Pelodiscus sinensis: one gene and its partners. The protein of the gene in region 2 binds, or shares a complex with, the protein of the main gene of each other region. Links are inferred from orthologs where the notes say so. Each region holds a gene or a part of one and is shown on either strand. Other genes may lie near its edges. The genes, in order: EXOSC8, EXOSC3, EXOSC1 and EXOSC4.

Evidence for each region.
Region 1: EXOSC3 (region 2) and EXOSC8 share a complex: the UniProt entries of both Homo sapiens proteins name them as parts of the RNA exosome core complex. The link is inferred for Pelodiscus sinensis from reciprocal best matches to the Homo sapiens genes EXOSC3 and EXOSC8.
Region 3: EXOSC3 (region 2) and EXOSC1 share a complex: the UniProt entries of both Homo sapiens proteins name them as parts of the RNA exosome core complex. The link is inferred for Pelodiscus sinensis from reciprocal best matches to the Homo sapiens genes EXOSC3 and EXOSC1.
Region 4: EXOSC3 (region 2) and EXOSC4 share a complex: the UniProt entries of both Homo sapiens proteins name them as parts of the RNA exosome core complex. The link is inferred for Pelodiscus sinensis from reciprocal best matches to the Homo sapiens genes EXOSC3 and EXOSC4.

Annotation. Positions count from the first base shown.
Region 1 is NC_134711.1:294,865,683-294,873,500, forward strand, and holds the start of EXOSC8 (exosome complex component RRP43), read right to left. Parts: upstream 3,028-7,818; 5' UTR 2,930-3,027; coding exon 2,694-2,929; intron 2,648-2,693; exon of another isoform or gene 2,453-2,647; intron 1-2,452. Other genes in the region: ALG5 (dolichyl-phosphate beta-glucosyltransferase), read left to right, coding at 5,553-5,691. UniProt on the Homo sapiens protein: Non-catalytic component of the RNA exosome complex which has 3'->5' exoribonuclease activity and participates in a multitude of cellular RNA processing and degradation events.
Region 2 is NC_134718.1:14,179,530-14,186,899, reverse strand, and holds the start of EXOSC3 (exosome complex component RRP40), read right to left. Parts: upstream 3,122-7,370; 5' UTR 3,065-3,121; coding exon 2,783-3,064; intron 1,815-2,782; coding exon 1,665-1,814; intron 1-1,664. UniProt on the Homo sapiens protein: Non-catalytic component of the RNA exosome complex which has 3'->5' exoribonuclease activity and participates in a multitude of cellular RNA processing and degradation events.
Region 3 is NW_027465990.1:87,879-95,567, forward strand, and holds the start of EXOSC1 (exosome complex component CSL4), read left to right. Parts: upstream 1-4,670; 5' UTR 4,671-4,735; coding exon 4,736-4,805; intron 4,806-5,020; coding exon 5,021-5,136; intron 5,137-6,337; coding exon 6,338-6,412; intron 6,413-7,048; coding exon 7,049-7,137; intron 7,138-7,435; coding exon 7,436-7,469; intron 7,470-7,689. UniProt on the Homo sapiens protein: Non-catalytic component of the RNA exosome complex which has 3'->5' exoribonuclease activity and participates in a multitude of cellular RNA processing and degradation events.
Region 4 is NW_027465833.1:42,589-50,543, reverse strand, and holds EXOSC4 (exosome complex component RRP41), read left to right. Parts: upstream 1-4,846; 5' UTR 4,847-4,896; coding exon 4,897-5,067; intron 5,068-5,497; coding exon 5,498-5,704; intron 5,705-6,639; coding exon 6,640-6,999; 3' UTR 7,000-7,438; downstream 7,439-7,955. UniProt on the Homo sapiens protein: Non-catalytic component of the RNA exosome complex which has 3'->5' exoribonuclease activity and participates in a multitude of cellular RNA processing and degradation events.

The DNA of each region.
Region 1 (7,818 bases), on a different chromosome or scaffold from region 2:
AATACACCAATTTAGTAATTCAACATTATTTTTAACATAGAATGTAATGTTTCAGATTGTTTTCTGCACACTCCCTAAAATGACACAATTTTTCAAATCACAATAAAGTTGACCTAAGTTGCACAATTCCAGCTATGTGAATAACATAGCTGAAGTTGACATACTTTAGGTCGACTACTTGCAGTGTCTACACTATTCTGGTTTGATGGGATAAACTCTCCCATTGATTTATTTTATGCATCTTGTTCTAGTGGAGTACCAGACTCACTGGGAACACATTTGGCAGTTGATTTAGCAGGCCTTCACTAGACCCACTAAATCAACCACTGGTTGATTTATTGCTGCAGCATGGATCCACCTGGTAGTGGAGACAAAGGCTAAAACAGAGAACAGAAAAACTGAGAAGACACAATGTTCCACAACTAGAAACTGATACAACACTGTTTGCAGCACAGTTAATCTTTGACACAAGGCCCTCAAGTTTTGTTCAAACTAATGTTTTTGAAGACAAATTATGGAAAAGGTAACTCAGAACTTTTATTACATTTTCTAAGCCAACATAAATCGGACATATGTATGACAATTTACAAGCAGAAGGGTAATGTTAATGTCAGTATTCCTTGAGCTATCCCCAGTTAGCATAGACATAAGGGCTGTGTCTACATTGGCATGAATTTCCGGAAATGCTTAAAACGGAATACTATTCCATTTTCAGTTTTTCCGGAAAAGGAGCATCTACATTGGCAGGTTACTTTTCCAGAAAAGCCCTTTTTCCGGAAAAGCATCTGTGGCCAATGTAGACGCGCTTTTCCGGAAAAGAGCCCCGATCGCCATTTTCGTGATCGGGGCTTTTTTCCAGAAAAGACTACTGGGCTGTCTACACTGTCCCTTTTCCGGAACAGTGTTCCGGAATAAGGACTTATGCCCGAGCGGGAGCAGAATAGTTTTTCCGGAATAGCGGCTGATTTTGTACAGTAGAGCATCGTTGCTTTTCTGGAAATTCAAGGGCCAGTGTAGACAGCTCACAGCTTATTCCGGAAAAGCAGCTGATTTTCCGGAATAAGTGGCCCAGTGTAGACACAGCCAAGGGCTAGACCTCACTGGCTCAGGCAATACAGGCAGTCCCCGGTTTACATACAAGATAGGGACTGTAGGTTTGTTCTTAAGTTGAATTTGTATGTAAGTCGGAACTGGTACATATTGTAGGGGAAACTCTAGCCAAACATTTCTCCAGAGCTCAGTTTTATTCTCCCACACCTCACTTCCCTCAGTTCTTTATTCTTAAGCTGAGGTGTCTGCTGAGAAAAGCCACTCCGCGTTTCCCTGGTCTGCTGGGGGGAGGGGGGACGACGCGCTAGCTTCGCATCTCCCTGGTCTGCTGGGGGGAAGCAGCTAGTGTGGGGTTGCCTCACCCCGTTTGTAAGTAGGGATCCGATGTAAGTTGGATCCATGTAACCCGGGGACTGCCTGTACAATCTACTGTGCCCCATTTAAAGATTGAGACACACAGGAGAGAAGCAAAGAGAGTTGGATCAATGCAGAAATCTTTCTTTCCCAAACACCTGGGACTCCTTGTTCAATCAGTTCTTACACTTAACTCCCATTTTCTTCTAACTGTCCTCAGATGGATTCCTCCACTCCAGCAACTCTAACATTTGGTCTTCATATTGATTAGGAACAGATTACAGTTGCTATGATTTCTACCAAGACTTTTCCTCTAACATAGACAAAGACCCACATTTCAAAATGCCTTAGCTGGCTATGACAACTCACTTTTTTGGCAAAACATATGATGCAATGTAACTCAGAACCATAACTGCTGTAAGGTTTAGGGATGTGGGAAGAATAATGTATTTCTGTAATTCATTGAAATTGAAAGAACTTTTCTGTAGCAAACTGCAATGTTACATTGAAAGTGAATAATTTGGAGAGAGGGTGTAGTGAGGTAGAAAGTTGGTCTCTCCCTTAACACTGTCTGGCTGCTAAAGGGCACAGTCCTATTACTGACCCAAACCCTTAATTCAACAGCAGTTACAGCTATTAAGTCTTTAGTTTTGAAATCTAGATAAATTCAGATAGAATGAAATATACAAAATCTAAGAATTAAGTCAGTTTAAGAGGAGGGGAAAACCGAATGTTGATTTTACCATAGCGAGTAAGGGCCTCAATTACAATCCTATAAATAATTCTGCACAAGCATCGTGCTATAAGTATGGGGAGCCCCAGTGAACTCACTAAAATTAGTCACAGGCAAAAAAAAGTGCACGTGCCACGTGCTTGCAGGAGACAGGCCCTCGATTGCCAAGACCACGAATGACAAGCGGTGGGTGGACATGCTCTGCCAGGGAAAAGTGAGAGTTGGGGGGGAAGGGGCGGTGTATTTCGTCCCCGCCCCCACTCCCAAGGCGGGCTGTTGAGAGCAGGCGCTGCAGACAGGGCGGGGGGAGCGGCCCCTCACAGCCGCCAGGAATCGGTTCCCAAGCTCGGGCCTGGCAGAGCTCGGGGCCCGGCGTGCGGCGAGTAGCCACAGCCAGGGGGCGCCACATGAAGGCTAAACCCTCTGCACCCGGGCACCGCCCGACGCCGCTGCGACCGCCGGGCCTAAGGACTCGGCAGCAGCCTGGGCGAAGCCGCAGCTCCCGCTGAGGTGACTGAAGGCGAAGGCCAAAGAGCTTGTTCGCTCAGTCTCTTACTTGAATCCGGCCGCCATAGTCCCGCTTCCGCCCCTGCGCGATCTACTTCCGGTTCCGGGGGGGACGCACTTCCGTGCCCCTTCCTCCCCCATCTGCCCCTTGGGCGGATGCTGGCCGGGAGGGGCGGAGGTTTCCCGGCAGGGGGCGCTGTGGGGCCCGGGCGCTCTGAGAAGCGGCTCCTCTCGTCGCAGCGGTTTGTTGTCAGGGCCGCTTCCGCCTCGCTGGAGCTGCCCCATAGGCCGCGCCCGGCATGGAGCATGGAGCCGCTCCTGGCTGACGTGGCCGCCGCGCTCGCTGCCTTGGCAGCCGCAGCCCTGAGCCTGGTGAGTGCGGCCCCTGAGGGGCATCGCGCCGCTCACGGGGCAGCCCCCGACTCAGCTGAGAGCCCCTCGCTGGGCGCGGCCCCGCCCCCTTCCGCGGGGGGAGCAGCCCAGCGCCCCGACCGGCAGCGGGACGGGACCCCGGCGAGGGGCGCTGGGCGGGAGGGGCCACGCTCCCGCTCCCCCGCACGAGACTGCCTGGGGCCACAGGCTCGGCCCGGCCCGGATGGGCGGTCGCAGCTTTAGACCCGCTGCAGTGTGGGGCTGGAAGGAATCTCACAAAGCCCAGCCCTTCTCCCCGAAGCTAGACCGTGTAACCCCTCGACTGTCCCTGACGGGCAGGTCGAGTGTCCAGCACGCTCTTAATAATGGCCCAAGGTGGGGATTCCACAGCCTGCCTGGGAAGCCATTTCTCTTAATATCAAGCAGTTCTCCTTTGCTGCAGGCCACTACTTTTTGTCCTTCACAGGATGTGCAGAACAGTTGTCCCTTTTCTTACAGCCCTTAGCGTATTTGAAAATTGTTATCAGGTTGCCCCTCAGTCGTTTTTTTAAAGATTAAGCAAGCCCAGGTTTTTTTGTTATCTGTACTTGTAGGCCAGGATTTCTAAGCTTTTATATCATTTTTGCTGCTCTCCTCTATGTTACCTGTAATCATTGTAGCATTTAGTTTGAGGATAAAACTACACTTTTCCAATTTTAAGAAAAATTGAACCATTTAAATACTGTATTTTGTTCAAAGAATTTGGTAGCTGTGTTAGAGAAGCTAGCAGGACACATTAGTAAGTGCAGGCAGTGTGTGTGTGTTGTTATATGACATAGATGTAAACAGTCCCTGCCCCAAATTCATTACAGTCAAGAAGATGAAAATGAGGGGGTGTCTAGATTACATGCATCTGATGAAGTGGGTCTTTGCCCACGAAAGCTTATGCTCCTACACTTCAGTTAGTCTATAAGGTGCCACAGGACTCCTCGTCGCTTTTGTAGACTACATCTGTCTTTCAACAGGATCTTTCAAAAAAAGCTTCTATTTTCGAAATTACCGTGTCTAGACTGCAGTTTCACTTTTGAAATAGCGCTTTTTCGAAAGAGCACCATGACACAATTATGCAAATGTAGTGCAGGAAATTCAAATCCTGGCTTCATTTGCAATTTCGAAGTGTCTAATTGACATGAGATTTCAGACACTCTGGAGACTCAGAAGTAGGATATATGACATGCAAACATATTACCTATATATTTAATACATTTTTCTCCTCTTTCCTTCTTCACTTACTTTTGTAAGTCATAAGATTTCATTCCACAGAGATGTTAAATGATAACATCCATAGGGATGTTAAATTTTGATTAATTAATTAATCGAATAGTTGATGGGATTTCCATCGACTATTCGGTTAGTCGATAAGAACGTCCATGTTCCACCTTTGAAATGCACAAGAGCCCCCAAAGGACTCCCTGCTATGAAAGAGGCAGCAAGGGGGCGGAAGCGACTAGTCAACTAGTGTGTCGACTATTCGCTAACTTTTGCTTATCGGATAGTCGATTAATCACTTACATCCGTAATTCCACAGTTACTGAAGTTTATGATTACTGCAAATTATGGTGGCCTATCTCTTAATTCAGCAGTATTTCTTTCTAGTTAGTCTGCTCGTAGTGGTAGTGTTGTGTGAGTTATATGTGTGTGTGTATGGTATTTTTAATGGAAAACAAAAGTTGTTACTTAATTGCATTATTTAATATCAGTTTTATATGTGATAAGATTTGCTTCTTGTATGGACTTGCTTAATATTAGAGATGTTGCTGCTAATGCTTGCTATGCTCTAGATTTTTAGTTAATTATCAACTAATGCAGTGGGTATAGCTACAAGATTTAGAACTGTTGTGCACCAGGGTCTAGAAAATGTTCACTGGGTCAAATTTATGGTGGCCTTTTCTAGTTGAAAATTTCATTTGCAACTTGCTGGGAACCTGGAGCCATATCCTGTGTAGATAAAATGGAACCACTAAATGCCATATAAAGACTATAAATCATAACCGGTAAAGTTCCTTTTTGATCTGTGCAGCAGATAAAAGAGCACTCCTCAATGGACCCACTTTACCATGGTTGTTAGAGCCATCCTATCCATAGGGTGAGCTGGGGCAGCCGTCCAAGGCCCTGTGCTTTGGAGAGGGCCCTGCGGCTCCTCCATCCATCCTATGGACAGGAGGTACCTGGGAGATTATGGGGCTTGGGAAGGGAAGAAGCAGGGCTTGTAGGATGGGGCTTACCTTGGGCTGCACAAATGGGGTGAGGGTTTCCCCAGAACCTGTGACTCCTTGGGATGACCCTGATGGTGTAATAGGAATGACTTTAAATTACTCGAATGTAGACCACAGATATGATTGACCATCCTTTGTTCAGTAAATTAGAATAGTTGAACACCTAACCAAATGTGGTTATGCAAAAAATGAATATAGCATTTGCTTAATGCAACATTGTCATAAATACCATTTCTGTTTTTTCACAGATTACTATTGTTGCCCATATAACTGCCACAAAAATGCCAAATCTTCATCGACATGAAGAAGAGAAGTTCTTTGTAAATGCTGAAGGGAAGAAGGAATCTATACCAAGCATACATGACCCCCCTACAAAGGAGCTTTCTGTTGTTGTGCCTTCATACAATGAGGAAGACAGGTGTAAGAATATTTCTTGGTTTTCTTTTTGAGAGACAAACTAAGTTTTGTGTTGCTGGTGAATGTCAGCAACAGAAAATTGCAGATTATGTAGCCATTTTGCTTACCAAGTTTTCAGGTCGCAATCAAGTAAATGGAGTTGTGCATGTAGAGCTTCTATAGAGTCCAGACATGCTTTTTTAGTGACAGAAATTAAACTACTTTCTGCAAAAAACAATTTTTACTAAAACTGTGTAAAATAAAGGTAGACATTTATTAACTAGGTTGCTGAAAGATTACAAAAGCCACTTTAAGCTGGTCTTCAGTGACTCTTAAAGTCAGTATGGGAGGTTAGGAGTAAAAATATCCATATTGGTTTTTTTTAGAATTTCACACTCTGGAACTTATAGCAGGGGCTTTAATCAGGCAGAAGGAAGGAAGAATGGTCTTGTTTAGGAGATATGGATTCTATTCCTGGCTTTACCATGTACTTCCTGTATGATCTTGGGCAAGTAATTTAGCCTTAACTTATAAAGGTCCTTCTGATGTGAAAGAGTTGTAAGCTGGAGGCTGTCTACTTACTGCTGGCACTGCAGATCATGTTGTTGTCTTATCTGTCTCACTGCAGTAAGAGCCACCAGAAGGAGTATGTATGTATTGTCCTTGTCTATAAATTGATCGGCCACAAGAACAATAGGTGCTGTCTCGGGGTATGTTTAAACTGCAATGAAAAGCCAGCTGATGTGGGCTCGTAGGGTTCGGGTTGCAGTACTGTTTTATTGTAGTGTAGACTTCCCAGCTTGGCCTGGAGCCTGAGCTCTGGGTTCCTCCCACCCTGCAGGATGTGCCTGGCTCTAGTCTGGGGGATGGGATGGGATGGGAGGGGAGGGGAGGGGAAGGGAAGGAAAGGAAAGGAAGGGTGGTTGGGTTCGGGGGGGGGAGGGAGAGGCGTGTGCACGGTGTCCCAGCCAGCACATCTCAAGGCCGGCCACTCAGCGCACACACCCCGGCACCTGGAGGGAGACGCGTCTAGCTGTTAGTGGCGGCTCCACCTCCAGGACCTGAGAATTAGATTAGAGTGGGGGGGAGGGGGATTGGTATTGAGGGGGGCCCGTGCCTGGCTCTGGGGAGGGGAGAGGAGGATTGGGTTTAGGGAAGTGTGTGTTCCTGACTCTGGGGAAGGGGAGGAGTATTGAGTTGGGGGGGATGTTCCTGGCTCTGGGGAAGGGGAGGGAGATTGGGTTAGAGCCCGGGGTGGATCCTTGGGGGAGGGAAGGGGAAGAGCAGGCAGCAACTTCCTGAGACCCGGGATCCCTAGGTACTGGCCCCAGCTGTCTCTGTCCCCTCCTCCTGGCCAGACCCCCCCCCCCCCCCCATGAGTACCCTGCCCCAGCACCCTATCCGCTGCCCCCAGCAGCACAGTTGGGGCCACATTAGTGAGGGTTGGGGGGTTTGGGAGGAGTTGTTTTTTTGCATCTCACTTTTGTGGCCCTGACTGACTTTTCTGTGGGTCAGTGACCCCTGACTCAAAACAGGTTCCCCGCCCCTCTCATAAATAAAGACAATGCTGAAACATTTTGTGTTTGACATATTTTATTTAAAAATGAAGCCTGGCCAACAAGCCCCCAACTGGGGCCAGTTCTCCATCTGGCCTCAGCATCATAACACTCTTGCACCTCCCTCCCCTCCAGGCCCCAACCTGAGCCTATCATTCACTGGAACCCCCTGTCCTAAGCCTCTCACATCCCCAAACTCCTGCACACCCTCATCCCCAGTCTTCTGCCACAACACTCCTGCACCATCCACACCTGCAAGTCTGTGTCCTGAGCCCATCATACTCTCAGCTTCCCTGCCCTGATCCCCTCATGCACCCCAGCCCAAACTCCTGTACCCTCACAGCAACAAGCCTGTGGCTTGCTCAGCACCCCAAGACTCCACCTGACCCCAACACTGTCCAGCCTAGAGCCCTCTCCCTGAGCCAGCATCCTCTTCTCTACTTTTTCCTGCACTCAAATTCCCTCCCAGAACTTGCACCTCTCACCCTTTCCCAGTGCTTCTTTTTGTGAGTCACAATAGCAGTGGAGACAGCATGAAGAGCCGGGGTAAAGTTGTTGAGCCAAAAAAAAAAAAAAGGCTGGGCTGCAAAGACTT
Region 2 (7,370 bases):
CCAGGCACGAGAATTCTCTCCCTCCTATAAAGTAGGGTATCACAATCAGATCCTGATACAATAGGTTAATTAATGGCCTCATCCCACACTGAAACTGCTACATGCAAAGACGCTTACCCTGTAGACTTGAAAATGTTCCATCTCTCTCTCTGCTGTTTGAACTCTGATAGGGCCACAGGCTTTAAACTGAAGCAGAGATTCCCAGAGGTTTCCCCTAAATCTGCCCTGAAGGACACTTGGAATTGACAGATTATTACAACATTCGTACTTTTAGGATTTAGATAATGGTTCATTTGTGTGTACAGGCTTGCTTATTTAACTTACAATGAACTCATTTCCTTTTCCTAGTTAACAAACCTTTAGATAAAACTTAAACAACAAACGGTCCTGCCGCACCTTAGAGACTAACAAAAAAAATGTAGATTGTTTCATGAACTTTCAAGAGAACAACCTACTACATCTCTGAGACTTTTAAACCTTTAGATAGCTTATTAGAGGATTGGCTACAGGCACTGTCTTTGGTGTAAGTTCTAGAGTACCAACTAAGGATGTTAAGAGATGGGTAACTGACTAATTGTGTAGTCGATACAATTTGTATTGACTTCACGATTAATTGATAAGGGAAGGTGCTCAGTCCCAGCTTGTGCTGGTTCAGGAGCTACCCTCACTGCAGCTCTGCAGTTTAATTGTAGGAGCCAGGTGCACAGGCAGAGCTGCAGTGGTCCCTGATCAGCACAAGCTGGAATTGCTTGGTCCCAGCTTGTGCCAGGTTTGCAGTGGGCAGAGCCTGCTCTGTGGCAGCCTCCCATGTCCCCTGCTGCTGTCTCTATCAGTGGGGATAAGGGGGCAGGCAACACTGGGGAAAACCAGCTTTTAAGCCGACTCCTGTTTCCTCCCCCTTGCTGCCTCTCATGCAGAGGCACTAACGGGGATGGGAAGCGACAGGTACTACTCGCCTACATCCCTAGTATCAACTGATCTGGGGTAAATGATTGTCTTGTGGACTGAAAGCAACAAAGCAACTTGAACATGGTGTGATTTTTGGTGTAACTAACTATTTATCATTAAGCTCCTCTTGTCTGGGTGGCAAGATAAAGAATGTCTAAGGGAACTGTCTATGATCCAGGTGTTCATATTTGTTACTGAGTTGGTGACATTTAATTATATAATTCATCACCAGTTTAACATGTCTGCCCTGTTTCATAGTCTGCCCTGAGTTAGGTACTATAGTCGAGAGCCACTCAAGACAGCACGACAGTCACATTTTGTAAGAGCCTGTTTTATGTAACCTGAATTCTAGGCCTAAATTGATCTCAGACTCTCTCTTTGAAGAGCTATTCTATCACAGAAGTGCCATTTCCTCCCTGTGACACAGCTGCACACCCTCTGTATAATGAATGGCAAAATCTGGCAACTAATACTGTGATAGTCAGTGATCAAAGGAAGAAAATCCCTCCCTCTGCCAGGGTCCAACATAAAAGCTAGGAGAAAAGGCAAAGAAAATGTTTGTACATTTCACTAAAAATCTATTATATACCAGAACATCTTTTGACTAAGATACGGATAAATATATGAGGAAATTTTAATTGTCAATTTGCAAGAAAGTGAAAACACAGTATTTTAAGGGCTTTGATAGTGCCAATATATATATATAACAAAATTACCTGCACATTTGGCCTGTTTCTTTTGGTTGCACCTTCAAATGCCAAGTAGGACAAAGATGCTTGCTCACTTCCACCAACATCCACTTTGAATATATCACCTGCTTTGATAGTCACTATGCCTATCACATGATCTCCCTTGACTGGTACATACTGAAAATGAAAACAAACTTTAGGATTAAGACATGTAACAAGAGAAACATATCGTTCACGCGCACGCGCGTGTTTGTGTGTGTGAGGGCTCATTGGTTAACCCTCTCTGTAACGTGTAGCCCCCCCGCACTGCTGCTTCTGATACAGAGGCAGCAGTGCAGGGAGGGAGGACGGAGCCACTACCTCAGTGGTCACCAACCAGTAGATTGGGATCTACTGGTAGACCTTAGAGCCTCTGACAGGTGATCCTGACTAGTTTGGCCAGGAAGCTATCAAGCACTGGCACTTCAGTTGCCCCTCCACCCACTGTCATGCTGCTCCTGCCCTCTGCCTTGGAGCTGCTCCCCCCCCCCCCGCCGAGCCTCCTGCTTGCTGTGCAGGGTGTCTCTCCTCTCTCCACTTCCACAGAGAAAAGGGGATGGAGGGAGCTTGGCAATGTAAATCTGTCACTCTCCTACACTATGTGTGCCTGTCATTCTCACAGGCACACACTGTCCTTCACTTTCATCTCCCAACCCAAAACATACGTGTGTGCGGGGGGGGGGGGGTGATTTCTTTTACTGCTTGCAAAGCGTGTGATTTTGGGTTGTTGACTGGTCTGTGCATTTCATCCTTTTCATTTCTCTCTGAGTTTAAATGTAATTATTGGAGCAGCCAGTTCTAAAATGCCGAACCTACTGGAGTTATTACCCCAATGGCAACTGCTGCTCCTGGAAGTGGCTTAATCCTGCAACCAGAGGCGCTTCAGGGGCACTAGCCCTGCTCCAGTGAATCATGTCAGTAGCAATGGGCTCTGTCTTTAGCGCTTGTGCCCCGCCACACTCGCCCCTGGGGGGAGGGGCAGGGCGCAGACGTTGGGTCGATCACGCGGCGGGTTCCACGGAGCGGGAGGTAGCGCGCGCGGGGGGGGGGGGGGGGGAGGAGACGTTGGCCGCACGCGCCACCCGCCGCCGCGCGCGCGCGCTCACCCGCTTCTGCTGGGAGTCCACCCAGTAGGCGCCGCCCGAGCCGCCTCCGGCCCCGCCCGACGGGCGGTGGCGCAGCAGCCCGCACTTGGTGACCAGGAGCCCGGCCCCGCAGCGCCGCAGGCCCGGCCCGCACACCAGCCGGCCCGGCAGCGCGGCGCTCGCGCCCAGCCACAGCCGCTCCCCGCCCGCCTCGGGGTGCGAGGGCAGCAGCAGCACATCCCCCGGCAGCACCACCTGCCCCACGCGCTGCTCGGCGGGCAGGGCCCCCTCCTCGGCCGCCATGGTCGCAACGAGGGGGGACGCGTGCGCCGAAAAGCGGCGGAGGGAGGGGGTAGCGGGTCCATATTGCGCATGCGCACAAGTCTGGCTAGGGCCTCAGCCGGCAGAATGGGCGGGGACGTCACTCCGAACAGCCCCGCCCGGCGGCGCGTGCAAGCCCGAAGACCCGGAGTGAGGTTCCTGTAAGGAACTGGCTTGTACATTACCCGGCCTGCGGTAGCGCTGCAGGGGAGCAGGCCCGCTTGTTGCGATGGGCGGGTGCCAGCCGAACTGTGCACAACCCGCACGTCTCTGATTCGCCTGTACAAACTGCTAATGTTAAACTAGGAAGCTGGAGTTAGAAAACGGAAAACTCATGTCCCCCTGAATTGTTAACCACTGGCGACATCACCTGGCCAAATAAAGATACCAGGGGTTCATTAGTATAACTGTCAAATTGTCTTGCCAATTCACCTGCCAATTTTCTGCCATGATATTAAATAAAAAGAACCCCAAGGCTATGTCCGCACTGCAGGCTTCTTGTGCAAAAAGTTCTTGCGCAAGAGCGTGTTCACGCCCCCATGTGCTTTTGCACAAGAGATGTGCTTTTGTGCAAGAATGTCCATGGAGTGTGGACGCTCTCTTGTGCAAGAAAACTCTAATGGCCATTTTAGCCATAGGGGTTTCTTGCGCAAGAAACCCCTTTTCCCGTCCACACTGCTTTCTTGGCAAGAGCTCTTGCGCAAGAGGGCTTATTCCACAGGGGGGAAAGGAATAACTCTTGTGCAAGAAGCTCTCTCTTCTGATGCTTTACTGTAAATTTACTTGTGCAAGAACACACGTGCAATGTAGACGCTACGCACGTTTTTGCGCAAGAATAGGCAAAAACATGTAGACTTCTACATGGCAGGCTTCTTGCGCAAGAACTGTTTTGCGGAAGAGTTCTTGTGCAAAAGGTCTTCCACAAGAGTGCGTCCACACTGCCATGAGCTTTTGCAAAAGAGATGTGCTTTTGCAGAAGAGCGTCCATGGCAGTGTGGACACTCTCTTGCGCAAGAAAGCTCTGATGGCCATTTTAGCAATAGGGGTTTCTTGCACAAGAAATTCATGTTACCCCATCTACACTGCCTTCTTGTGGAAGAGCTCTTGCGCAAGAGGGCTTATTCCTTGTGGGGAAAGGAATAACTCTTCCGGAAGAAGCCCTGTTTTCTGACGCTGTACTATAAATTTACTTGTGCAAGAACACACGTGCAGTGTAGACGCTCTGCAAGTTTTTGCCCAAGTAGTGTAGACATAGCCTAAGTTTATTTGCTTATGAAAAACGTACCATGAACATCCAGAATACTGATGAAAATAGCATAAGATAGATGTAATAGAAAACTTTTAATTCTGGATTTCAGAAGTTTCAGGGCAGAAGAAATCCCACCCTTGGAGTAGTGAGCATGGATAGTATAGACCTTAGCCAACTGCCACAAACTCAGACTATGTGGGTATGTCTAGACTACATGGCTCCGTCGACGGAGCCATGTAGATTAGTTTACTAGACATAAGAAAATGAAGCGGCAATTTAAATAATCGCTGCTTCATTTACATCAAAATGGCTGCCACGCTGTGCCGATCAGCTGTTTGGTGGTACAGCGCGGTAGTCTGGACGCTCCATGGTCGACGAAGGAAGCACTTGTTGACCGCCCCGGTAAACCTCATTCTATGAGTCTTCCCTTGTCGACCGCAGAGCGTCCAGACTACAGTGCTGTGCCGCCAAACAGTTGATTGGCACAGCACGGCAGCCATTTTGATGTAAATGAAGTGGCGATTATTTAAATTGCCACTTCATTTTCCTATGTCTAGTAAACTAATCAACATGGCTCCATCGATGGAGCCACATAGTCTAGACATACCTTGTGTTTGTGCCTTCTCCAGTATCACATTCTGTAGATGCATCCCTAACCTAGTGCTAAAAACTGTGGCCCACTGTGCAGCGACAGGAAGGGGTCAGCTCCAGCCTCCCTGGGCTTCCTGCCCACAGGATATCAATTAAGTGGTTAACTGTAACATTTAACAAGTTAATTGATTAAATGGGATTTTGCATTCCTTTGTTTTGGGGTATCTTCTGGACAGAAGTGGATGCCTTATGCAATATGCTATTATGTACTGGGTCCTTCAGGACAAGGGGCTGATATTGTGGGGATGTAGGAGTCAGGGCAGGGCCTTGGGAATGTGTGTGTGTGGAGTTCTGGAGGCTGCGGGGGTTAAGAAAGTGAGGGTTGGGGGATAAAGGGAAGCTCAGGGTGGAGGAGGCCCATCTGGCACAGGCCTTTTCTCTCCCCCCTTAGATCTCCTCACTGCTGCCAGGGGCTGTCCCCTTTCCCCCGTGCTGTGGCCAAGGGCCAGGAAGAGGGAAAACAGTTTAAAGGATACTTACTTGGCTTGCTGGCAGGAAAAATGGCAGAGCCCCAGCCCTGCTTGTCACTCCCTTGATTGTACAGCTGCCCCCAGCAGCTACTCTCATATTGTGTCCCTCTGAACAGCAGTCTCTCCCTTTGCATGTTATGGAAAACTGTCCTTTTCCCCGGGCTTTCAATTGTCCTGGCACAACCAAACCCAGACCTTGCTTTAAGTTAGGTGAAGAGGGAGCTGCACTCCAAATTTGGTGGCACTAGCTCTTACCCTTTAGAAGGACTTCTTGAACAAATGGACTCGCAGACAGACACACACACACACACACTCTAAAATATATACGCAGATAAAGACGGAATGGATGGTGTGTGTTCTGCCATTTACCATCTTAACTGTAGTATGCAGTAACTACTTACTATGCAGTTTTAGCTAATTGTAGATTTAGGGTTTTCTTCCAGAATTCCACCTGACTTCAGGAGAAGTTACATTCAATTGAGGGTTGTAAATTACCTTTCTAGAGAAGCATAATTAGCTATAAAATAGCCTTCTCTTCCTCTCCCTTACCCCATCTGGAATTTCTTACATTATGAAAAGCCAATTTACAGGCTGACTGAAGCTCTTCTATTTAGAGAGAGGGAAGTCACATGCATAAGTGTGTTATGGTGTTTTAAAATCATACATTTTTATTGAGGAATCCCCCCCCCCAACAACTTTTCATCAACATTATTTTGACTGAATACATTAAAGAAAACATGATTTTTGACACTTCATTCAAATTGGTTCCAAAGTATGCATAATAATAATAAAAAACTATAGACAACTGAATGTACAGGATAAAAGGCTTTTAATATCTCAGATTTTAAAATATGATATGTCACAGGAGCGGTGTTAAACTTTATTAAAAACTTCATATAGTTTAAACAAATTCTAAATTTAGTATGTGCACAGTTGCAATTATTCAGAAGATATTTTATGCAATTATTTAACTAGAAATTCAAGATGCTGTTTAGGCAAAATGTAAAGTTGCCAGTTCCATTTGCCTTGTGCCTGAGTTTTAGCTAAAATCTAACCTTTTAAAAAACTGTTCTAAAGGATACACTATTTCCAAAATTAGCAATTACAGATATAGTAATCAAATTGGTATCTGTGGCCCATCATGAGCAGAAAGGAAGACTCTTTCGTACTCATATCCAGAGCACTGTATACAAGAAGACATTAATTTAGTCAATTCACATACCTTATTTTTTGTCTTTATATTAATTTCAGGTATTCACTGGATACATATTTGTCATGTGTAACTACTGTATCTTTGGTTTTCATGTCTTATTCATTCCTAGGTTTGCTGTGTTCTACAAGTCACCTCATCAAGCTTCATAGGAGCTTTGCTTGCTGTGTTCTCAATTAGGGTATGTCTACACTGCATTCCTCTTTCAAGAGGGGAATGCAAATGCAGCTGAGCGAAATTGCAAATGAAACGTGGATTTGACTTTCCCATGCTTCATTTGCATAATCGTGTCCGGGCGCTATTTTGAAAAAAGAAACCCTGTCTAGATGCGGTTACTTCGAAAGAAATCCCTTCTTTCAAAATTACTCTTAAACCTCATTTTATAAGGCGTTGGGGAATTTCGAAAGAAGGGTTTTCTTTCGAAATAACTGCGTCTAGACAGCGTTTCTTTTTTCGAAATAGAATATTTCGAAATAGCGCCTGGACACGATTATGCAAAAGAAGCACGGGAAATTCAAATCCATGCTTCATTTGCAATTTCGCTCAGCTGCATTTGCAGTCCTCTCTCAAAAGAGGAATGCAGTGTAGACATACCCGTAGTGATTCACTCAGCTCACTCTCACTCATGTATTGAGTCATCTTGCCCCTCAGTTTTATCTCTTGATGGTTCTTGGTTTGTTTCAACAGCTTCACCACTTGCCAAAGTGT
Region 3 (7,689 bases), on a different chromosome or scaffold from region 2:
CCCCCCCACCGTCAGCCCACACCGTCAGCCCAGGGCTGTCCCCCCCCCACACCCCCCCACCGTCAGCCCAGGGCTGTCCGCCCGCCACGCCCCCACCGCCAGCCCAGGCCTGTCACCCCGCCAGGCCCCCCACCGCCAGCCCAGGGCTGTCCTCCCGCCAGGCCCCCCACCGCCAGCCCAGGCCTGTCACCCCGCCAGGCCCCCCACCGCCAGCCCAGGGCTGTCCTCCCGCCAGGCCTCCTCCCGCCAGGCCCCCCCCCCCCGCCAGCCCAGGGCTGTCCCCCCACCAGGCCCCCCCACCGCCAGCCCAGGGCTGTCACCCCGCCAGGCCCCCCCACCGCCAGCCCAGGCCTGTCACCCCGCCTGGCCCCCCCACCGCCAGCCCAGGGCTGTCCCCCCGCCAGGCACCCCCACCGCCAGCCCAGGGCTGTCCGCCCGCCACGCCCCCCACCGCCAGCCCAGGCCTGTCACCCCGCCAGGCCCCCCACCGCCAGCCCAGGGCTGTCCTCCCGCCAGGCCCCCCACCGCCAGCCCAGGCCTGTCACCCCGCCAGGCCCCCCACCGCCAGCCCAGGGCTGTCCTCCCGCCAGGCCTCCTCCCGCCAGGCCCCCCACCGCCAGCCCAGGGCTGTCCCCCCGCCAGGCCCCCCCACCGCCAGCCCAGGGCTGTCACCCCCGCCAGGCCCCCCCACCGCCAGCCCAGGCCTGTCACCCCGCCAGGCCCCCCCCACCGCCAGCCCAGGGCTGTCCCCCCGCCAGGCACCCCACCACCAGCCCAGGGCTGTCCCCCCCCCACGCTCCCCACCGCCAGCCCAGGCCTGTCACCCCGCCAGGCACCCCCACCACCAGCCCAGGGCTGTCCCCCCGCCAGGCCCCCCACCGCCAGCCCAGGGCTGTCCCCCCCCCACGCTCCCCACCGCCAGCCCAGGCCTGTCACCCCCGCCAGGCACCCCCCACCGCCAGCCCAGGGCTGTCCCCCCGCCAGGCCCCCCACCGCCAGCCCAGGGCTGTCCCCCCCCACGCTCCCCACCGCCAGCCCAGGCCTGTCACCCCGCCAGGCACCCCCCACCACCAGCCCAGGGCTGTCCCCCCGCCAGGCACCCCCACCACCAGCCCAGGGCTGTCCCCCCGCCAGGCACCCCCACCACCAGCCCAGGGCTGTCCCCCCACCACGCCCCCCACCGCCAGCCCAGGGCTGTCCCCCCCGCCAGGCCCCCCCACCGCCAGCCCAGGGCTGTCCCCCCGCCAGGCCCCCCACCGCCAGCCCAGGGCTGTCCCCCCGCCAGGCCCCCCACCGCCAGCCCAGGGCTGTCCCCCTGCCAGGCACCCCCACCGCCAGCCCAGGGCTGTCACCCCCCGCCAGGCACCCCCACCGCCAGCCCAGGGCTCTCACCCCGCCAGGCCCCCCACCGCCAGCCCAGGGCTGTCCCCCCACCGCCAGCCCAGGGCTGTCTTCCCGCCAGGCACCCCCCACCGCCAGCCCAGGGCTGTCCCCCCGCCAGGCCCCCCCCACCGCCAGCCCAGGCCTGTCCCCCCGCCAGGCACCCCCACCGCCAGCCCAGGGCTGTCCCCCCACCAGGCACCCCCACCGCCAGCCCAGGGCTGTCCCCCCACCAGGCACCCCCACCGCCAGCCCAGGGCTGTCCCCCCACCAGGCACCCCCACCACCAGCCCAGGGCTGTCCCCCCACCACGCCCCCCACCACCAGCCCAGGGCTGTCACCCCGCCAGGCCCCCCACCGCCAGCCCAGGGCTGTCCCCCCACCACGCCCCCCACCGCCAGCCCAGGGCTGTCCCCCCGCCAGGCACCCCCACCGCCAGCCCAGGGCTGTCCCCCCGCCAGGCCCCCCACCGCCAGCCCAGGGCTGTCACCCCGCCAGGCCCCCCACCGCCAGCCCAGGGCTGTCCCCCCGCCAGGCACCCCCACTGCCAGCCCAGGGCTCTCACCCCGCCAGGCACCCCCACCGCCAGCCCAGGGCTCTCACCCCGCCAGGCCCCCCACCGCCAGCCCAGGGCTCTCACCCCGCCAGGCCCCCCACCGCCAGCCCAGGGCTGTCACCCCCGCCAGGCCCCCCACCGCCAGCCCAGGGCTGTCCCCCCGCCAGGCCCCCCACCGCCAGCCCAGGGCTGTCCCCCCGCCAGGCACTTACCACCCCAAACCAGCGGGTGACATGGTCTACCAGCCAGTAGATGGGCTCGAAGAGGGAGTCGAGCAGCACGTCGCTGTTGGTGAAGGAGTTGTAGAGCAGGGAGTGGAGGCAAAGGCGCCCGTAGCGCCACAGCTGCTGCACCCGCCACACCAGCCTCAGCCTGCGTCGCCGGCCCACGCGCAGGCACTTCAGAAAGAGGCGCATCACCGCGGAGAACGCCCGCTGGCGGCTCCTCATCCCCACCGCGCACCGTCTGCGGAGAGAGCCCGGCTCAGCGCCACCCGGACCTGCCCTCCGCACCGGGGCAGCGTCCCCCGGACTGGGCCAGTGCTCAGCAGCGGGAAGAGACTCACAGGCTCACTCCCCGGCCGTGCGTGGCGCTGGGCCGCCTTCAGCTCCCTGCTCTGGCAGGGTTTCTGCCTCTGCCCTGCTGGCAGTGCCCCCTGGCAGGCACAAGCCACCCCTCTGGGTCGGGACGGGGGTGCCGGAGACCTTGGTGGGCCCAGCAAGGGGAATGAGCCCGGCTCCTGGGGCACAGGAGCGCAGAGCCTTCTGCTCCCTGCCCCCATCCCGGCTCAGGTGTTCACTGGCCCAGACGCAGAAGAAACCAGAGACGGAGCTCAGGGCACTCACAGGCTGCCAGCGTCGCCAGAGACCCTGGCGCTCAGAGCCAGGGAGCCCGCAGGGGGGGACAGGCGGCATTAAAAGCCCACCACCCCATCTCCCACCTCCCTCCTGAACCCGGCCCTGGGAGCTGCTTGCGCACAGCCCCAGCCAGGGGTGTGATCTCTGTCCACCCCCGAGTCCAATTCAGTGCAGGGCGGCCCTGGAAGCCAAGGCACAGCCCCTGGGCGGAAGCAGGATGAGCTGGCCAAAGGGGGCAGTGGGCATGGGGCCCTACCAGGCTGCTCACCTGCCTGCTGAGCTGTGCGCACTGGCCTGCAGTCAGCTGGAGTGAGGAGGAACCTGAGCCTGCCCGGGCATGGAGCCACCTCCCTGAGGCACACCCAGCATCAACGAGGAGAGGCTGCCCCCAGCAGGGCTCAGGCACAGAGCTGAGCACAGCGTGTCGAGTAGGCAGCCCAAGCAGGGGCCCTGGAGCCGGCTTCTCGGCCTAACTAGCACCTGTCTCTGGGGAGGACTGGCCGAACAAAGCCTCTGCCCTGCCTCTCAGAGGCCTGTCTCCTGCAGCGCTCAGCCTTGCCCCAGACTAGGCCCTTCTCCCCACTGCGGCCCTATAATACTCCCTCCCAGGCCGGCTCCTCCAGCCCCGGCATGTGGGGCTGGGGCAGCTCTCCCTCTGTTTTCTCTGGCCGGGATGTTCAGCGAATGTTTTACTTGGGAAGGCTGACGGGGGGAGGGGTATCACGCACAGCCGGCGGGGGGGTTCTCACTGTCTTTTGAACGTGCCCCACCGAAAAGGGAGGCATCCGATTTCAGAAAATACTGCGGTGAATTAAAGCAGGTGCACCCGATCTCTGCTGGGCTGGCGTCTCCAGGCCAGGGTGCGGGCTAAGGGTGGTGCTGTGCAGCGGGTGGGAATCCCACAGGCAGAGGATCTCGTCTACCCGAGGCTGTTCTGATGCACCCATCACCCTGGAACCAGGCCTCTGTGTCTCCCGCCTGGCAGGCAGCTCGGAGGGCGCTGCACCCCAGCGTGTCCATTGCAGGACGACCAGTGTGTGCTCGGGGCCTCTCCGCCGCGGATGGGGGAGGTACCCACCCACCGCTGGTCCTGGGGGGCGTGAGCCGAGCCAGGTGCCCAAACCCCCGGCCGGGCCACAGACATGGGGGTCTGCAGAGCCCCCTGCAGCAAGAGCCTCCCGCGAGGGCACGGACAGGGGGGCGTCACTGCCTGGGGGCCACAGAGGGAGACAGCCCCCGCCCCCCCCGCCCCCCCTCCGAGGACACCCCCTCCGCGAGATACCCCCTCCCCCTGGGAACCCCCCGTCCCCCTCCGAGACACCCCCTCCGCGAGATACCCCCTCCCCCTGGAACCCCCCGTCCCCCTCCGAGACACCCCCCTCCGCGAGATACCCCCCTCCCCCTGGAACCCCCCGCCCCCCCTCCGAGAGACACCCCCTCCGCGAGATACCCCCTCCCCCTGGAACCCCCCCGCCCCCCTCCGAGACACCCCCTCCGCGAGATACCCCCTCCCCCTGGAACCCCCCGCCCCCCTCCGAGACACCCCCTCCGCGAGATACCCCCTCCCCCCTGAACCCCCCGCCCCGCCCCCTTGGAACCCTCCGCCCCGCCCCCTTGGAATCCCCCGCCCCCCTCCGAGACACCCCCTCCCCCTGGAACCCTCCGCCCCGCCCCCTCGGAACCCCCGCCCCCTCCGCGAGATACCCGCCCCGCCCCCCTTACCTGCCGGCCCGCACCCCGCCTCCATCTGCCCCGGCCCCAGCCCTCACCGCCGGCCGGGCATCACCCCGGTACCTGAGGCTCACTGCGCCTGCGCGGCGCGCCCCGCGGAGCATGCCGGGAGCTGTAGTCTCTCCGCTCCAGACTGCAACTCCCGAAGCGCCCCGCGCTGGCCGGCGTCCCCTCCCCGCAGGCGGTAGCGGTCACGTGGGAGCACCGGCCAATGGGAAACTTCCTTCCCGGGGAGCTGCGGAGCGGCAGCATGGCCCGGCCGGCGCGGTGCTGCGTGCCCGGTGAGCCCCTCCCCCTCCCCCTCCCCGCCCCCCCCTTAACCGTCCCGGCCGGCTCGCGCCCCCTCCTCCCCTTACCCCCCCTTAACCCTCGCGCCCCCCTCCCCCTCACTGCCCCCCCCGCCGGCTCGCGCCCCCTTCCCCTTACCGCCCCTCCCCCCCTCACCGCCCCCCCCCGGCTCGTGCCCCCCCGCCGGGCTGACGCTTGCTGTCCCCAGGCGAGCGGCTCTGCGGGCTGCAGGAGGCGGCGCCGGGCAGCGGCACCTACACCCGGCTGGGCTCCGTGTGCGCCGCGCTGGCCGGCGGCCTGCTCACCACGCGCCGGGACGGAGAGGTGAGGGGGGGCGTCCTGCTGCTGGCCCCCTGCAAGCCCCGCCCCCACCTGAGTGCCCCGCCCCCGGAGGACCCGCTGGAGTCTGGGCACGGGGGGTGCAGCTTGCCGGGGGGGGGCGTCTGGGCACGGGGGGTGCAGCTTGCCGGGGGGGGTGCTCGGCCTGAGGCCATGGACGCGGGCAGACTGGCTGTCTCTGGGGCAGGCGAAGGGCGATGTCATGGGAGGTGTCTGCTGCAGGCCTCCTAGCCAGGACAGAAAGGGGCTGAGGGGTTTTGACCCACCCTGTGGATGTGAAGTGAGCCGCCTTGACATCCGCAGGTGTGGATGCCTGAGACTACCCATGGGCTTGCAGGGCCCTAGTGATGGGGGACTTCAGCGGCCAGGACATCTCTTGGGAATAGGGAGCTCAAAAGCCACCTAACAATGTGACCGCTCCAGATCCCAGGGTCACGTGCTGCTGGCTGTGCGGTATAACACTTATACGGAAAACCCACAGTGGAGCCTCCCAGGGAGCCAGCGAGTAACCGAAACGGAAACTGATCAGCTGAGGCTTGTGAGCGGCGGGGTTGAGGCTTATGGGTTAAGCGGTTGCACTGTTACGTCCCCGGCTGGGAAAAGAAGGCAGCAGGGCACAGGGCATCCAAGAGGAGTCTGGAGTGTATTGCAGAAAGCATCTGTGGGAGGCTGCTCTAGGTTTGATTTTGACAACTAGGGAGGAGCTGGTTGAGAATTTGAGAGTGGAAGGCAGCCTGGGTGAAAGCGAACAGGAAGTGGCGAGGTAAGGAATGGTGGGAAAGGCCAGCCCAAGAGCGACAGTGGGATTCAAGAAGGCAGACTTGAGTAACTCGGGGAGTTGGTAGGCTAGAGCCCATGGAAGCGAGTCTAGGGGGAAAGTAGCTCTAGAGAGTTGGTAGTTTTTCTGGGTGACACTTTCGGGCACAGGAGAGACAGGCAGTCTGGCCAGAGACCACCCAGGAGAGCTCATTGATCTGAAATTCAAGATTTGAGTCCTGTGAAAAGCGGGGAGTAGGTCACATGACGGAGGATGACTAAACACGTAACTGAAGCATGCAGGGACGAGTGCTTGGCCGGGCTGGGCCGGGCCTGGTGGACGTGGTATGCCGACACTGGCTCTGTGGGGGTGGGAGGTGGCCGTGCCAGGCACAGGGCTAACCAAGGGCTCCTCTCTACGCCTGTGCAGCTGCCGGTGGTGTCTGTGGTGAGAGACGTCGAGTCCCAGCTCCTGCCCGACGTGGGGGCCATTGTGACGTGCAAGGTAAACGCCTGCCTGGCCGGCTCCGCTGCTGGGTCTCTTGCTGCAGGAGCGCCGCGTTCGGTGGGGGGAGGGCAGGCCGGATGCCTGTGCAAGGACCGGAAAGGGTTACAAACCTCCTCTGCTGCTCAACCTCTGGCTGATCCCCTCTCTGCCTCATGCCAGGCTTCTCCGCAAGGGGCTGGCGGGCTCCGGGGTGGCTCTGTGAGAGGCAGGGAGCCTCTTGGCTCCCTGGCACCAGTTCCAGCCAGCCCACTCTGCTCTGGGAACCAAGTGTCGGGGCGCGGTGCCCCCTCCATCGCTGGCATTGGCACCCTCAGCCTAGAGGCCATGGAGGCCGAATTCCTGCTTTCCACCAAGGGGCTTCCGGGGGCAGCCTGGAGGGGAATAGGCTGCTGGTTGGGAGAAGCAGGTGGGTGTGGCTGGGAGTTGCAAGCTCTCCCCGGAGCGGAGTGTGGCAGTGAGTCGATCACCGGGCAGGGGAACGGGGGGCTCTGACTGGCTGTGGGTGGGTGGTTAGGTTAGTTCCCCTACAGTGGAGCAGGGGCGGGGCCAGTCCCTGCTGGTCTTGCTGCCCAGTACTTGGGTGCCTGGGGGAGCTATGCTTAGCTGGGGGGTCATGCCAGATTCTCCCCACAGGTGTGCAGCATTAACTCCCGCTTTGCCAAGGTGCGCATCCTCTACATCGGCTCCACGCCGCTGAAATCCACCTTCCGAGGTACCATACGGTAAGGCCTGACCTCACGGGCCCATCCCCAGGGTCTGGGGGAGGGTGGTTCCCCCTGTACTTTACCAATGTATGCCCAGCCCTGCCTGGGGAACAGAGCCAGCTCTGCTGCCCTGCAGCTCACCCCTTGTCCTAAGACTGGCTCCTGCAAGCTAATGCCTTCTGCCCAGTGCCGGGCCGCGTCCTGGGGAACGGCTGCATAAGCCCTGATGGGGCAGCCAGGGCTGCGTCTCCAGAGAGGCGAGCGTGGCCCTGGGCCCAGCAGGCGCGGGCTGAGATCTCGCTGTCTCTTCTTACAGGAGAGAAGACATTCGAGCCACAGAGAAAGACAAGGTCAGTCGGCTGCTGCCTGCTTCTGTTTCTGCCCAGCGCTTGGCTGCCACCCTCTTCCCTGCACATGCGGCCCAGGCCAAACCCCCAGGCATGGCTCACCCCATTCAGCCCCAGCTCCTGAGGTGGCTCCCTCTGGGAGGGGAGCTTGCTGACCCCTCATCTCAGAGGGCACCCCACTCCCCTCACTGGGACAGGCTGAGCTGGAGGGTTGGGGTTCTTG
Region 4 (7,955 bases), on a different chromosome or scaffold from region 2:
CGTGGAACAATAGCCCTCCACAGGCCAAGGACACACCCCAAGAATGCTCAACTCTTCATCCTAGATGCAGCATTGCAGGGATCAACGAGCTGGAAAGAACTGTGGACCCGTCTGCACAGAGGATGTGCACCAAGGACTTTTAAGCCAGCAGTTATAACATCTCTGCTAGAGCCTGCATCGAGAACTGGGAGATTCGATGCATGGAATGTAGGATACTTTAACAACCTCACTCTCGGGCTTTTCTTTCTCTTAGTAATAAACCTTTAGGGTGCATCTAGACTGGCAAGATTTTGCACAAAATCATGCCAGTCTAGACGCAGCCTTAGATTTTAGATTCTAAAGGATTGGCTCAGCTTCTAGACTGGCTGTGTCTAGACTGGCATGAGTTTGCGCAAATACCTTTAATGGAAAAGTTTTTCCATTAAAAGTATTTGCGCAAGAGAGCGTCTACACTGGTATGTGCCTTTGCGCAAAAGATTTGCTTTTGCGCAAAAGCATCCGTGCTAGTGTAGACGCTCTCTTGCGCAAGAAAGTTCTGATGGCCATTTTAGCCATCGGGCTTTCTTGCACAAGAAATTAATGTGGCTGTCTACACTGGCCTCTTACGCAAGAGGGCTTATCCCTGAGCAGGAGCATCGGAGTATTTGCACAAGAACCACTGATTTTATACATTACAAAGTCAGTGTTCTTGCGCAAATACTTGTGGCCAGTGTAGCCGCACCCAGAATGTAAATTGACCAGGGATCTGCGGCTGGTTTCTTGGAACTGGACAGAACTTGTTTGGGGTAGGTGGGATTGGGTCCTAAACCCCCTCACCTGTGAATGAGGGCGGGGCCATCTAGGGCATGGATATTGCTGGGGTATTGGAGGGGTTTTGTTCGTGAGGCTTCTGACTGGCCAGGCAAGCAACTGAAGTGCTCTATGCAACTGGTTTGGGAAGGTCTCCAGGCTGGGGGCAATAGAGGGCCCCAAATTTGAGCAATTCGCCCTGAGCGGATGCCCTCAGCGGTGCCCAGACACGGCCTGGTCCGTCACAAGTAGTCAATGGAATTTCCTTAACTACTTGACTAGTTGATAGGAACTTCCGGATTCCTCCTTTGAAATGTACAGGAGGCTCCACCCCCGGGACCTCTTGTATATGTCAGAGGCCTGTGGAATCCGTGTGCAGCCTATGGCCAGTGGGAGTCCTGTTGACTCTGGGCTGCCCAGGGGTGCCAGCTTTGAAATGTACAAGAGTCCCCAGCAGGGGATGCAGAGTCCTGAGCTGGCCCCGGCTCCATGCGCCACTGCCACTTTGAAATGCTACGGGGAGCGGGGGTCAGCTGACCCCGGGCGCTGCTCTTTGAAGCACCCGCCTCCCACCCTTTGCTGCCAGGCTACGGCTACATTGGCAAGATTTTGCACAAATACTTTTAATGCAAGAGTTCTTGTGCAAGAGCGTGTCTACGCTGGCACGTGCCTTTGCACAAGAGACGTGCTTTTGTGCAAGAGCATCCGTGCCAGTGCCGACGCTCTCGTCCGCAAGAACGCTCCAGGGGCCGTTTCAGCCACCGGGCTTCCTGCCCCAAGGAATTCCTGTTGCCTCCTGCGCCAGAGCAGCGGGGCCGGGGCCGGATCCCTGAGCGGGGCCGGGGCCGGATCCCTGAGCGGGGCAGGGGCCTGATCCCTGAGCGGGGCAGGGGCCTGATCCCTGAGCGGGGCCGGGGCCTGATCCCTGAGCGGGGGCAGGGGCCTGATCCCTGAGCGGGGCCGGGGCCTGATCCCTGAGCGGGGGCAGGGGCCGGATCCCTGAGCGGGGCAGGGGCCTGATCCCTGAGCGGGGGCAGGGGCCTGATCCCTGAGCGGGGGCAGGGGCCTGATCCCTGAGCGGGGCAGGGGCCGGATCCCTGAGCGGGGCAGGGGCCTGATCCCTGAGCGGGGGCAGGGGCCGGATCCCTGAGCGGGGGCAGGGGCCGGATCCCTGAGCGGGGCCGGGGCCTGATCCCTGAGCGGGGCCGGGGCCTGATCCCTGAGCGGGGCAGGGGCCGGATCCCTGAGCGGGGCAGGGGCCGGATCCCTGAGCGGGGCAGGGGCCGGATCCCTGAGCGGGGGCAGGGGCCGGATCCCTGAGCGGGGGCAGGGGCCGGATCCCTGAGCGGGGGCAGGGGCCGGATCCCTGAGCGGGGCCGGGGCCGGATCCCTGAGCGGGGCCGGGGCCGGATCCCTGAGCGGGGCCGGGGCCGGATCCCTGAGCGGGGCAGGGGCCTGATCCCTGAGCGGGGGCAGGGGCCTGATCCCTGAGCGGGGCAGGGGCCTGATCCCTGAGCGGGGGCAGGGGCCGGATCCCTGAGCGGGGCCGGGGCCGGATCCCTGAGCGGGGCCGGGGCCGGATCCCTGAGCGGGGCCGGGGCCTGATCCCTGAGCGGGGCCGGGGCCTGATCCCTGAGCGGGGCCGGGGCCTGATCCCTGAGCGGGGCAGGGGCCGGATCCCTGAGCGGGGGCAGGGGCCGGATCCCTGAGCGGGGCAGGGGCCGGATCCCTGAGCGGGGGCAGGGGCCGGATCCCTGAGCGGGGCAGGGGCCGGATCCCTGAGCGGGGCCGGGGCCTGATCCCTGAGCGGGGCCGGGGCCGGATCCCTGAGCGGGGGCAGGGGCCGGATCCCTGAGCGGGGGCAGGGGCCGGATCCCTGAGCGGGGCAGGGGCCGGATCCCTGAGCGGGGCCGGGGCCGGATCCCTGAGCGGGGGCAGGGGCCTGATCCCTGAGCGGGGCAGGGGCCTGATCCCTGAGCGGGGGCAGGGGCCGGATCCCTGAGCGGGGCAGGGGCCTGATCCCTGAGCGGGGGCAGGGGCCTGATCCCTGAGCGGGGCAGGGGCCGGATCCCTGAGCGGGGGCAGGGGCCGGATCCCTGAGCGGGGCCGGGGCCTGATCCCTGAGCGGGGGCAGGGGCCGGATCCCTGAGCGGGGCAGGGCTTGATCCCTGAGCGGGGGCAGGGGCCGGATCCCTGAGCGGGGCCGGGGCCTGATCCCTGAGCGGGGGCAGGGGCCGGATCCCTGAGCGGGGCAGGGGCCTGATCCCTGAGCGGGGGCAGGGGCCGGATCCCTGAGCGGGGCAGGGGCCTGATCCCTGAGCGGGGGCAGGGGCCTGATCCCTGAGCGGGGCCGGGGCCTGATCCCTGAGCGGGGGCAGGGGCCGGATCCCTGAGCGGGGCAGGGCTTGATCCCTGAGCGGGGGCAGGGGCCGGATCCCTGAGCGGGGCCGGGGCCTGATCCCTGAGCGGGGGCAGGGGCCGGATCCCTGAGCGGGGGCAGGGGCCTGATCCCTGAGCGGGGGCAGGGGCCTGATCCCTGAGCGGGGCAGGGGCCTGATCCCTTAGCGGGGGCAGGGGCCGGATCCCTGAGCGGGGCAGGGGCCTGATCCCTGAGCGGGGGCAGGGGCCTGATCCCTGAGCGGGGCAGGGGCCGGATCCCTGAGCGGGGGCAGGGGCCGGATCCCTGAGCGGGGCAGGGGCCTGATCCCTGAGCGGGGGCAGGGGCCGGATCCCTGAGCGGGGCAGGGGCCTGATCCCTGAGCGGGGGCAGGGGCCTGATCCCTGAGCGGGGCCGGGGCCTGATCCCTGAGCGGGGGCAGGGGCCGGATCCCTGAGCGGGGCAGGGCTTGATCCCTGAGCGGGGGCAGGGGCCGGATCCCTGAGCGGGGCCGGGGCCTGATCCCTGAGCGGGGGCAGGGGCCGGATCCCTGAGCGGGGGCAGGGGCCTGATCCCTGAGCGGGGGCAGGGGCCTGATCCCTGAGCGGGGCAGGGGCCTGATCCCTTAGCGGGGGCAGGGGCCGGATCCCTGAGCGGGGCAGGGGCCTGATCCCTGAGCGGGGGCAGGGGCCTGATCCCTGAGCGGGGCAGGGGCCGGATCCCTGAGCGGGGGCAGGGGCCGGATCCCTGAGCGGGGCAGGGGCCTGATCCCTGAGCGGGGGCAGGGGCCTGATCCCTGAGCGGGGCAGGGGCCGGATCCCTGAGCGGGGCAGGGGCCTGATCCCTGAGCGGGGGCAGGGGCCTGATCCCTGAGCGGGGCAGGGGCCGGATCCCTGAGCGGGGCAGGGGCCGGATCCCTGAGCGGGGGCAGGGGCCGGATCCCTGAGCGGGGCAGGGCTTGATCCCTGAGCGGGGGCAGGGCCGCCCTGCGCGAGGAGCCCGGTCCGAGTTCCCGCGCTGGGGCTCCCGCCAGCGCCCACTCGGGCTGAACCTGCCCGTGCAGCCACCCCCCCCCCGTCTGACTGGGGCACCGGCCCCTCCCCCCCCTGCGCGGGGAAACTGAGGCACCAGCAGGCAGGGCCGGGTGGGAAGGCGGAGCGGCACAGACCGGAACACTCGCCCGCCCGCCTGACGGGGCCAGCCGCGAAGGGGGGCGGGAAGGGGCGGGGCCGGGGGCAGGGCAGGGCGCGGGGCAGGCCGGGAAGGGGCGGGGCCGGGGGCCGGGCGCGGGGCAGGCCGGGAAGGGGGCGGGGGCGGGCGCGGGGCAGGCCGGGAAGGGGACGGGCGCGGGGCCGGCCGGGAAGGGGGCGGGGGCGGGCGCGGGGCAGGCCGGGAAGGGGCGGTGCGGGGCCGGGGGCGGTGCAGGCCGGGAAGGGGGCGGGGCCGGGCGCGGGGCAGGCCGGGAAGGGGGCGGTGCGGGGTCGGGCGCGGGGCAGGCCGGGAAGGGGGCGGTGCGGGGCCGGGGGCGGGGCAGGCCGGGAAGGGGGCGGGGCTAGGCGCGGGGCAGGCCGGGAAGGGGGCGGGGCCGGGCGCCGGGCCGGCCGGGAAGGGGGCGGGGCCGGGCGCGGGGCCGGCCGGGAAGGGGCGGAGCCGGGGCCGGGCGCGGGGCAGGCCGGGAAGGGGGCGGGGCCGGGCGCGGGGCAGGCCGGGAAGGGGGCGGGGCCGGGGCCATGGCGGGGCTGGAGCTGCTGTCGGACCAGGGCTACCGCGTGGACGGGCGCCGGGCCGGGGAGCTGCGCAAGGTGCGCGCGCGCATGGGGGTCTTCGCGCAGGCCGACGGCTCCGCCTACATCGAGCAGGGCAACACCAAGGCGCTGGCCGTCGTGTACGGGCCGCACGAGGTGAGCCGGGCCCCCGCCGGAAGCGGCCCCTCCCCCCCCGGGCCTCCCCGCCGGAAGCGGCCCCTCCCCCCGTGTCCCCTCCCCCGCCGGAAGCGGCCCCTGCCCCCCGCGGGCCCCCCCGCCGGAAGCGGCCCCTGCCCCCCGCGACCCCCCGCCGGAAGCGGCCCCCCTTCGGAAACGGGCCCTCCCCCCGCGGGCCCCCCCCTTCGGAAACGGGCCCTCCCCTCGCGGGCTCCTCCCGCCGGAAGCGGCCCCTCCCCCCAGCCCCTTCCTTGCGGAGCCCCGCAGCTCTGCCCGGCGGGGGCGGGGGCGGGGTGACCCCCCCGCGAGCCGCCTCCCCGCCGGGCTTTGGCCCGTGTTCGGGACGAGCGAGTCCGGCCGGGAGCCCCCCCCCGCCCGGCGCTGCAGCCCGCGTGTCCCGCCGTTGCAGATGCGCGGCGCCCGCAGCAAGGCGCTGCACGACCGGGCGCTGGTGAACTGCCAGTACAGCATGGCCACCTTCAGCACGGGCGAGCGCAAGCGCCGGCCCCACGGCGACCGCAAGTCCAGCGAGATGACCCTGCACCTCAAGCAGACCTTCGAGGCGGCCATCCTCACGCGGCTCTACCCCCGCTCCCAGATCGACATCTACGTGCAGGTAGGGGTCACCTAGCGCCCCCCGGCCAGAGGCCTGAACCCCCCCCCGGCCAGGGGCCTGAACCCCCCCCGGCCAGGGGCCTGAACCCCCCCCGGCCAGGGGCCTGTACCCGTAACCCCCCGGCCAGGGGCCTGTACCCGCAACCCCCCGGCCAGGGGCCTGTACCCGCACCCCCCCCACCCCCCGGCCAGGGGCCTGTACCCGCACCCCCCCCACCCCCCGGCCAGGGGCCTGAACCCCCCCCGGCCAGGGGCCTGTACCCGCACCCCCCCCCCCCCCCGGCCAGGGGCCTGCACCCGCACCCCCCCCCCCCGGCCAGGGGCCTGTACCCGCACCCCCCCCCCCCCCCCCGGCCAGGGGCCTGTACCCGCACCCCCCCCCCCCCCCCCGAGCCATGGGCCTGTAGCCGTGGGCTGCTGGCTCTGTGGTTTACCCAGCTCCCCATACGGAGCTGGCAGCTTCCTGGTTTCTGCTGTGCCTGACCCCAGTTGCCTGGAGTAGCTCCCTGGAGTATGGGGGAAGGGGTTTCAAGCCTTGCTCAGTGCTGTGTGGGCCTCACCATGGGGTGACCATGGGACATGAGGAATCATCTGGGCCTTCAGCCAGCTGAGCCATTGGGGAAGGAGGTGGTGACCTGTGTGGGGCGCTTGCTGGCTCCTGCACTAGTGTGGGGAGGTTGTTTGTGTAGCATTCCGGAAGGGATCAGCCATGTGCGTTCTGCTCACTCCCCCACTGGTTCCCTGGGCTGCCTAGACAGCAGTGCCAGGTGAAGGGGCGTCTGCCCAGGGCTTATGTTGTTTCACAAGCCAGTGATGCTGCTTTCTAAGGAGGGTTGTGGGCATGAAAGGTCTAGTCCTGAGCTTTGTGGGGCCAGATGCAGAGTCGCTCAGGTGCAGCCTCCTCTGCTCCCTTTGCTGAGTGCTCTGTCTCCCCAGATCCTGCAGGCAGACGGTGGGAATTACTGTGCTTGTGTGAACGCGGCCACGCTGGCCACCATAGACGCAGGCATCCCCATGCGAGACTATGTGTGCGCCAGCTCTGCCGGCTTCATCGAGGACACGCCCCTGGCTGACCTCAACTACGTGGAGGAGGCAGCTGGGGGCCCCCAAGTGGCTCTGGCCCTGCTGCCTAAGTCGGACCAGATCGCCCTGCTGGAGATGAACTCGCGGCTGCACGAGGACCACCTGGAACAGGTCATCGAGGCTGCCAGCAAGGCCTGCAAGGATGTCTACGCTGTGCTGGACCAGGTGGTGCGTGAGCACGTGCACGAGGTCACCACGCTGCTGGGGGAGTGAGCGCACAGGCCTGTGTGCCTAGAACCAGTGCTGCACGTGACTGTGGGTGGGGACAGGGAGCGCTGCCGTGGCCGCCGCAGGGATCGATTCAGCCAAAGCCCATGCCAACACTGCCCCTTTGTCCAGCTGCTTTGTTCTCCGATGTGCACACTGGGCCCAGGTTGAGCACCTCTGCTGGGCGCTAATATCACATTGGTACATGTGAATGCCCCGCGGCGTCTGTCAAGCCTGGTGTTCCTCGCTGGGTGATGGGCCCTGACATGGCTTCCTGGATCTGTAGCCATGGCTGCTGACTCCTGGGCTGTTGGCCTCTCCCATTCTCCTAGGCGCTGCGAGAGGCTGGGGCGCGTGGCCCGGTGGATAGCTGCTCGATCCGTAGATATCAGTGTCTGTTCCTTTGTAGGGGACTGCTGTAAATAAAACATTGTTTTGGTGGAAATTGTATTGTGTGGGCTACCCCCTGGCTGAGTGCAGGGCAGCAGAGAACCAGTGCTGCTGAAGATACGGCCCATGCGAAGTCTGGCGCGTCCCCAGTGCTGGAGGAGAGATGGGGGCTCTGCTGTACCCGTCTCTATTGTGGCTTGGTCCCTGCCTATGACAGCTCCTAGGAAGACTCCAGCTCACACAGGATTAATCGGGGAACCTCCCCTCCCAGACGTCCCCTCTGCTTGCTCACGCTGCTCCCGGGGCTGGTAGGACGGCTCCCTAGGCACCACAGCCTGCCTGCTGTCACCATCACTCCCTGGCCTGCCAGGCTTCGTGCCAGCAAAGCTGCCAGTGCTTGCTGATTTAGAGGAGATGCTTCTGGTGCAAGGCCAGTGGCCTAAGCTGGTCTGGGAAAGCCATTCCCAGGTGACCAGTAGCCTAAGCCCCGAGCTTCCCCAGCACCCATCTGCCCAGAGGAGCAAGGCCAGGGGAAATCCTGATCCAGAGAGGTCGCTCAAAAGCTTCTCTTC